Linked DNA regions of Ovis aries. The protein of the gene in region 2 purifies or fractionates together with the protein of the main gene of each other region. This does not show direct contact. Links are inferred from orthologs where the notes say so. Each region holds a gene or a part of one and is shown on either strand. Other genes may lie near its edges.

Region 1 (4,516 bases), on a different chromosome or scaffold from region 2:
ACCTGGATCAAGAAGATCTCCTGGAGGAGGAAATGGCAACCCACTCCAGTATTGTTGACTGGAAAAATCCCATGGATAGAGGAGCCTGGTGGGCTACAGTCCATGAGGTCGCAAAGAGCTGAATAAGACTGAGCCACTAGGCATGAACATGAGCACTCTAAAAAATTTATACCAAGCAGAGGCGTACTTTAAAAGGGAAGGAGTATATGACTTGAAGGACAATGGCAGCAATATTGGTTATAAAAGGGCAAAAAAAGCAGTAAGCAACTTAAATACCCGGTAATAGGTTTAATTATGATATAGGCATATAATTAAATATAAAACCCAATCACTAGGAAGAATGTTGGAGATTAGTGATGTTGAAAAAACACAGGACTTCCCTGCTGGTCCAGTAGTTAGGAGTCAGACTGCCAGGGTGAGGGTTGGGGGACACAGATTCCATCCCTCATTAGGGAAGATCTCACATGCCAAGGAACAACTAGGCCCCTGCGCCACAACTACTGAGCCCATACCCAGCAACTACTGAAGACGGCTGGCCCTAGAGTTCCTCCTGCACAAGAGAAGCCACTGCACCATCCCTGCTCCTCATAACAGAAAGGCCACATGCAGCAACAAAGACCCAGCATAGCCAAAAATAAATAAAATTTAAAATAAAATAAAAAACATGGAATGCATTTGTGGCAAGCACTCCGTTTAAACTCAGAACAAGCCTTAAAAGCAGGTTAGGCATGAAAAGGTTTGAAAACAAATAATCTGACTTGCCCCAAAGTCACACAATTAAGTAGCGAAGCCAGGACTCAAAGGGAAACTGAATCTCGAGCCCAAGAGTCTTAAAATGCCCACAGGCTTCCCAGGTTTTGTGCAGGGCAGGGATAGAACTATCTACGACGCATTGTTACTCTGAGAATTAAAGAATATAATAAACACAAAGCTCCTGGAATACGGTGGACATTCAACACTCAGAAGCCACTAAACAACTCGCTCAAAGTCACACAATGCGTGGTTTAACCACGCATATAAACAGAAATTTGAACTTGTGTTCCCAAGAAGACGTAGAAGTTGCAGAAGCACTTGCCTTCAACGCTTCCCTGGTAACTCAGCTAGTAAAGAATCTGCCTGCGATGCAGGAGACCTCGGTTCGATTCCTGGGTCGGGAAGATCCGCTGGAGAAAGGCTAGGCTACCCACTCCACTATTCTTGGGCTTCCCTGGTTGCTCAGCTGGTAAAGAATCCGCCCACAATGCGGGAGACCTGAGTTCCATCCCTGGGTTGGGAAGATATCCTGGAGAAGGGAAAGGCTACCAACTCCAGTAGTCTTGCCTGGAGAATTCCATGGACTATACAGTCCACGGGGGTCGCGAAGAGTCGGACACGACCGAGCGACTTTCACTTCACTTTCTTGGCTTCAACCTCTAACGCAGGGTCAGTATAGACTTTCCTCTGTCCCATAAACCGCACCTCAGAGGTCAAGTAACAGCCAGAAGGTCTCCACAGAAAGAAGAGAAAGCGCAACAGTCCCTGCAACAGTCCCTTTAGCACCAAGCTCACCAATTGGCCACGGCACAATTTCTGGGACGGAAGTGACGTCTATAGTTGCGCGCCGGAAATGGACTTACAGAGTGAGCCCAGGAAGTCGCCGAGGTATTTGGGTTTGGGATCCAGCTACGCTTTGGTCCAGAGCTTTGCCGCATTTGTAGGCGGCTGCTGCCATGACTGCCCAAGGGAGCTTGGTGGCTAACCGAGGCCGGCGCTTCAAGTGGGCGATTGAGCTGAGCGGACCTGGAGGAGGCAGCAGGTGAAGTGCTGGGCAAAGCTCGATATCAGAGCTTTCACTGTAGGACTACCCCAGAGGAACAGGACCTGAGCCCTCAGGCACAACTCTCTAAAAAGACGACTCCTGGGGAGCTGATGGCTTCTCTGCCTGGAGGTTTCTGTGTCCAAAGGATGCTTATTTCATCCTTCCCTGTAGGCCAGGATCTGACGAACCACGGGAGGGCTTGGTCTAATATAGGTAGATGCATCTGAGGATCTTTATTCCTATGATGAGAACAGGAAATGTGGGATACGAAGTGTGGGAGGCTACAGCCTTAGTTTTTTTTGGTTTGGTCTGTAGGGGCCGAAGTGACCGGGGCGGTGGCCAGGGAGACTCGCTGTACCCAGTTGGTTACTTGGACAAGCAAGTGCCTGATACCAGCGTTCAAGAGACAGACCGGATCCTAGTGGAGAAGGTACAGAGGTATAGATGTAACCATAGTCCTTGGGCCAGTTCTGAGCTACTCACCTACCTCCTCTTCCAGGCAGCATATGGATATCTTACTGAAGATGGCCCTTATCCCGAATATTTGGTAGCTAAACTGCTTGAGATAAGTGTTACATTAGTTGACCGTATCAGCTCCAAAAGTGCTAATTGGAAAAATAAAAGACGGTTGAACATAAGGTATAATAAAGTAGGTTGAAAATTATCAATTGGGGCAGCGCATTCCAGTTGAAGTCCTTTTTCTACTCTGGTACCCTTATACCACTCATCCAGTCTGTCAGAGTAGTCTGTTGGTTCAAATAGATTGAAAATCTTATTTCTTATTGCTTTACTCTATCATCCTGGTCTAAGTCACTCCGTCTCCTACCTCTTTCCCTTTTGTTCACTCCTGTCCCCAGAATGACCTCCTTGCTGCTGCTTAAATATGCCAGGCAACCTATTTCAGGCTTTTTGTACTTGTTCTTCCCTTTTCCCCCAGATCCCTTTATGATTTGCTGTCTCATCTCCTTTATGTTTCTCAGATGTTACTTTTGTAGTGAAGTCTACCCTCATGGCACTCCCTGTCTTATTTTCTTATATTTATCCATATCATTCATACATTTTACTGTCTCTTTTCACTGTTGCAAGCTCTGTGAGAGCAAGATGTTTGTCTCCCAAGTGCCTGCAACAGTGCCTGGCACTTTTTTCCTCTCAGCCTTAATACTGCTTTTCAAAAAGCCCCTTTGGCTTTCTTGATGTAGAGCAAATTTCATTAGTTTCTGCTCTCATTTTGATTTCCTTCCTTTCCATTTCCTTGTGTCTCTATTATTCATCTGATTTCTTGAAATAGATGCTTAGATATTACTTTTAGTCTTCTAATATGTATTTAAAGGTGTAAATTGCTCAAAGCTCTGGGTCTTACAGTTTTAATATATGGTATTTTTATCAGTTAATATTTGTATTTTCCACTGACAGTTCTGCTTTGATTAGTGGATCATTTAGAGCACATTTGTTCATTCTAAGGCATAAGAAAAAATTTCTAGTTATCTTTTTGTTACTGATTTCTAGCTCAATTACATTATAATCAAATAATATGCTTTGTATGATTTGAGAGTTACTGACATGTTCTCCATGGCTCAGTTGTCAGTTTTTGTAGATGTCCCATCTGTGTTTGAAAAGCATGTAAATTCTTTATCTGTTAGGTGCAGTGTTGTATGTCAGTTGTGTTAATAATGTCATTCACATCTTACATATCTTGATTTGTCTGTCCTGTTAGTAAATGAGGTGTGCTGATCTACCATTATGTGGATTTTATCTAGTTCTTCAATTGTAGATGGGACAATGATAGGTGCAGAAGTATAAGAACAAAAGTAGGGAAGTCCTTTCTTTACCTAAAGTCATGGGGGGGAAATGGTATCTGGAAAACCCATAGGGAAAAACATAAAATAGTGAGGATGCCTTATCTTTAGTAGATGAGCAAGGTTCCTTTGGCAAAGTGAGAGAATGGTAGAGGTGGTGGAATTGAGGAGTTAGCTCAGAAGCACAGAACTGGGAATTGTGTTCATTTGACTTTAAGGTCAGTGATATGATAAATGTGGGACTAAGGATAGTAATCAGTGGTTAAACCTGTGTTTGTTGTAGCGCTGCTGGGACATTGCCTTGGGTCCCCTAAAACAGATTCCTATGAACCTCTTCATCATGTACATGGCAGGCAATACCATCTCCATCTTCCCTACTATGATGGTGTGCATGATGGCTTGGCGACCCATTCAGGCACTTATGGCCATTTCAGCCAGTAAGTATTCTTTTTTTCTTGCCAGTAAGTATTCTTGAAATAATAATCCACCCTAACTAAGCTTTAAGAATCAGAGGCAAATTCTTTGGCAAAACCCACTGTAAATCTTTGGCAGAGCTTGCTCTTGGCTAGCTGCTGCAGGGTGGTGATGGCAGTGGTGGTGGCATGAGGGGAAAATGGTGCTTGTGGGTTTTTGTTCACCTTTAATGGTTCTATTGGCTGTCTTAGTATGGAGCTGTTTGTATTATTTATATTAATATATGGCCTGATTCATACTGAAGAAAAAGTTGTTTTGGTTTTTGACACTTTCTGTTACCCCAACAGCTTTCAAGATGCTAGAAAGTTCAAGCCAGAAGTTTCTTCAGGGTTTGGTGTATCTCATTGGCAACCTTATGGGTTTGGCATTGGCTGTTTATAAGTGCCAATCAATGGGACTGTTGCCTACACATGCATCAGATTGGTTAGCCTTCATTGAACCCCCTGAG
Region 2 (3,806 bases):
GGTGGGCAGAGCACAAAGAGGGCCTGGCCCAAGAAGGTGGTTCCATAAGATGGAGGAAGGGCCTGGGTCCTGAGTGACTGCCCAGGGCTGCATGGGACAGGCTTTCCCACTGGGAAGTCACTGAAATGCGCTGTTGGCTGCAATTGCAGGGGCTGCCTAGAGTGGGGCTGCTGGAGGGTCAAGGAGGACCTTCCTGGGCAGCTCAAGGAGGTGTCTGGGTGGGGCCAGGTGCAAGTGAGGGGCCCCAGAGAGGAACACTTCGGACAAAAAGGTCCAAATATGGAGGCAGATTTGAAGGAAGCGAGCCCTTTGGTCAAGGTTCAGCCTAGACCCAGAGCTGAACTTGCTACATCCTGGTCCAGGAAGTGGTGGGCATCCCCCACCCCCGGATATTTAACAGGCAAATGAAGTACAAACTGAGCAAGTGCCAGTCTCCCCGAGGCCACGCTCTGGACCAAAGGACCACCAAGAGGGGAGGGGTCCCCAGGGCCCTGGGCTCGGAGCAGCCTTCCGTCTCTCTGCTCCAGGCCTCGTGCCCTCCTCTGGGGTGGAAATGGGCATGTGGGTGGCCCCAGCCAGGCCCCTTCCCGATGGAGGGAACGAGGAAGACCACGGGATGGGGCCTGGGAGGAAAGGCCCCGTGGAGACACACGGGACGGCCAGCCTTCTGGGCCCCAGCCACGCTCTCGACTCACGGTTTCTGGTTCTCATAGCTCTTCAGACGGCCCATCTCGCCCGTGTACACCTTGGCCATGTCCATGTCCGTGTGGACCATGAGTTCGTACTGGCGAATGCTGGAGCGGGGAGACCCAGAGTGAGGCTGAGGACTGGGAGGGCCAGGAGGCTGGGGGAGGGTCCCCAGGAGGGAGTGAGGCTGTGAGACCATGGGGCACGCCTGGGGGACGCGGGGCCAGGCATGACCCACAAGGAAGGAGATGTGTGAGTGCGGGGCAGGTAGGAGAGGTGGGGCAGCTGGGCCAGCAGGCCCGAGGAGGCCTGGAAGCCCACTCTGACCCTCACGTGCGGGCAAAGCCCAAGGGCCTGGGCCTGGGCCCTTTCCACACCCTGACTGAGCTTCCCCCAGCCCCACTGCGCCCACCGGGCCGGTTCCCCACCCACGGCACCAGCTGCACGCACTCACCTGGATTCCTCTCCGGTGGCTTCCACCCCGAAGTGCTCGCACACAGCCGGCCAGAACTGTTCTCGCCACGTGATGAAGTCCTCCTCCAGGCTGTGGACCAGAGGGGATGAGCCCGGGGCCAGATGGGGCTGCCAGGCCAGGCCTGGACCCTCTGTCCCCTGGCTCCCCCGCAAGCTCAAAGGTTCATTTCACACCAGCCCACCCAGTGATGTAAACCAGGGCAGCAGGAAGCATCCAGAGGGTCTGCGGTAACCACGGGAAGCCCTGTCAGCTGGGTGAGCTGGAAGGGTGTGGACAAGCAAGGAGGGCCTGGTGATGGGGGGCTGGCCTTCCCTCCCCATGGTGGGGCAGGTCACAGGGGTGCGCGGACACTATGGCTCTGCCCTGCCCTCCTGGGCCCCGGCCAGCCTGAATCTGTGGCTCCTGACACTCGACAGCCTGGGTGGGGGTTGAGGGTGGGGCTCAGGGTGGGGGACTCACTTCCCGTCGTCGTCGCCCAGCCCCAGATCAAAGATTCGCTGGGCCCCGAGCTGTTCCAGCCGCTTGTCCACGTACTTGCCCATGGCGTTGAAGTGCTCGTAGGTCTTGTTCCCAAGGGCAAACACCTGTGTGGATGAGGAGCCAGGGTCAGTGGGTCCGGCCAGACACCTCATAAGGGGAGGTCCCGGAGCAGCTTTGTTTCATTGACCCATAGCTCAGGCTCCTCCGTGGCCACCTTGGCCTGGACCCTGGCAGCTGCAGGGTGTTCACCCCACCCGATCCCTTGCCCAGCCGAATCTTGGTCAGCCCACTCCTCCTTTCTTGCCTTTTGTCTCTAGAAGCTAATGCCCCTGGGCACGGTGGGGCTGGGACACGGGAAGGGGGCTCTTAGTGCCGGGTTGGGCAGAAGAGAGGGTCACCACGTGAGCCCTTCCTGGGATTCCCGCCTACAAGCTCCCTGCCAGGCCCAGGCTCTGCAGATCAAGGTGAGAACTGGAGGTGTCCTCTTGGACACAAGCTTCTGGAGGTCACACGAGCCCACACGGGTGACTCACCGCATACTTGACCCCAGAGAGGTCCACATCCGTCTCCTGGAGCCAGTCGTAGAAGTCCTGGGCGTTGTCGGTGGGGTCCCCCTCACCGTAGGTAGCCATACAGAACACGGCCAGGGCTTTCTCAATCTCTGGTAGGCTGCTCAGGTCGGCCTGGGGGGACAAAGGCAGGGCCAGGCCAAGTGACCATGACTGAGCCGGCCCCCAAGTGCAGACAGGCGAGTCCTGGGCTCAGGGGAACAGAGTGCTTCTCAAGAGCGAACGGACAGCAGGCACAGAAGAGCACGGTGAGGGCCTGGGTGTGGAGAGCAGCAGCAGGGTTCCAGCCCAGGAGTGGGCACGTGGGACACGCTGCCACCTCTGGGGCACCTCAGCACCCTACAGAGTCCCGGGGGGCCTGAGCTCATGTGATTCCTAACCAACTGTCTGCCAACTCAAAACCCAGGTCCTAAGACAGAGGGATAGTGGTGCCATCCCCAAGACCGAAGGGGGCGTGTGTGTGGAGTAGGCGGGGGCTGGTTTGGTTTGGGTGAAGGAGGGGCACAGGTGGGAAGTAGCCGGCACTCAGAAGACAAGGCTTCTCAGGAAGTTCATCCATCACGTTGGAGCCCACGTGATGACTGGCCACGAGCCTGCAGGGAGAAGCAGGACGGCGCTCCCTGGGGCGTCTTCCCAGGACTAGCTGCTCTGTCAGCCCTGCCTCTCCTGGGGCCTAAGGACCACTCCGAGCCCTTCTCTGCCCACCGTGTCCCCTGGCGCTGCCGGCCTGGCCATCTCAGTGAGCAGACTGCTGGACGTTTCCTGCACTCTGGAGAGCTATGACCAGTGAAGGAGCCAGTGCTGGGAGGAGCGTGAGCAGGGTGAGTTGGCCCCCACGGCCTCAGAGACAGGCTGGGTGTGGCTGAGGCCAGGAGGTGGGGGCTGAGTCCTACAGACAGCGCTGTGTGGGCCCGAAGGAGCCACGTGCTGAGGACGGCTGAAGGAGGAGATGGGGGAGGGGGGATCCTGTAGCCCCAAATGGGGGCTTTCCCCTCAATCCCCGGGCTCTCCTGGGCCCTCCCCAAGCCCAGACACACGAGTTTACAGCCTCCAAGCAAAGCTGAGCTGCAGGGTTCCTAGAGATGGCTCGTCCAACACCCTCATCCCCTCCCTGTAGATGAGGCCCCCAGTGAGGGGCTAGGCCAGGTCCCCTAGGCAGTCGGGCGAGCGGGGTTAGAGTCCAGACACACCCCCGGCTCCTAAGTCCAGCCCCCCTGACACTGCAGTCCAGGAGATGGGGGTTGAGGGAACACGAGAGACGGTTCCTCTCCTGACCTGCTGAGACCCTGTCATCTTTTAAGCCATACCCAATCCACGAGGTGCCCAGGTCCCTTCTGTGGGCACCTGCCCAGCGCTTGTGGAGCCTGCAGCATGGAGAGCCGCAGGCAGCGCACCTGGACACACCTGGGCCAGGGGTTCTTTATGTCTGGAGGCTGCCTGGCTGCTGGGACAAATGACAAGAGGTGCCCAATCCCGCCTGTCCCTTTGCCTAACTCTGCCCTCCTGTCTCCACGATCCCGACGTGCCTGCCTTAACACTCTGGACCGCACTGCGCGGGAGGAAGGGGCCGGGGCGCGGCGGGCACTCACCAGATC

The links.
Region 1: the proteins of NADPH--cytochrome P450 reductase (region 2) and EMC4 purify together in Homo sapiens (affinity purification with mass spectrometry; 3 studies listed by BioGRID and IntAct, with this or other methods). This does not show direct contact. The link is inferred for Ovis aries from reciprocal best matches to the Homo sapiens genes POR and EMC4.

The regions. Positions count from the first base shown.
Region 1 is NC_056060.1:26,583,426-26,587,941, reverse strand, and holds the start of EMC4 (ER membrane protein complex subunit 4), read left to right. Parts: upstream 1-1,616; 5' UTR 1,617-1,709; coding exon 1,710-1,795; intron 1,796-2,113; coding exon 2,114-2,228; exon of another isoform or gene 2,229-2,236; intron 2,237-3,877; coding exon 3,878-4,031; intron 4,032-4,355; coding exon 4,356-4,516. UniProt on the Homo sapiens protein: Part of the endoplasmic reticulum membrane protein complex (EMC) that enables the energy-independent insertion into endoplasmic reticulum membranes of newly synthesized membrane proteins.
Region 2 is NC_056077.1:34,650,767-34,654,572, reverse strand, and holds part of NADPH--cytochrome P450 reductase, read right to left. Parts: coding exon 3,801-3,806; intron 2,326-3,800; coding exon 2,176-2,325; intron 1,747-2,175; coding exon 1,622-1,746; intron 1,232-1,621; coding exon 1,142-1,231; intron 795-1,141; coding exon 696-794; intron 1-695. UniProt on the Homo sapiens protein: This enzyme is required for electron transfer from NADP to cytochrome P450 in microsomes. It can also provide electron transfer to heme oxygenase and cytochrome B5.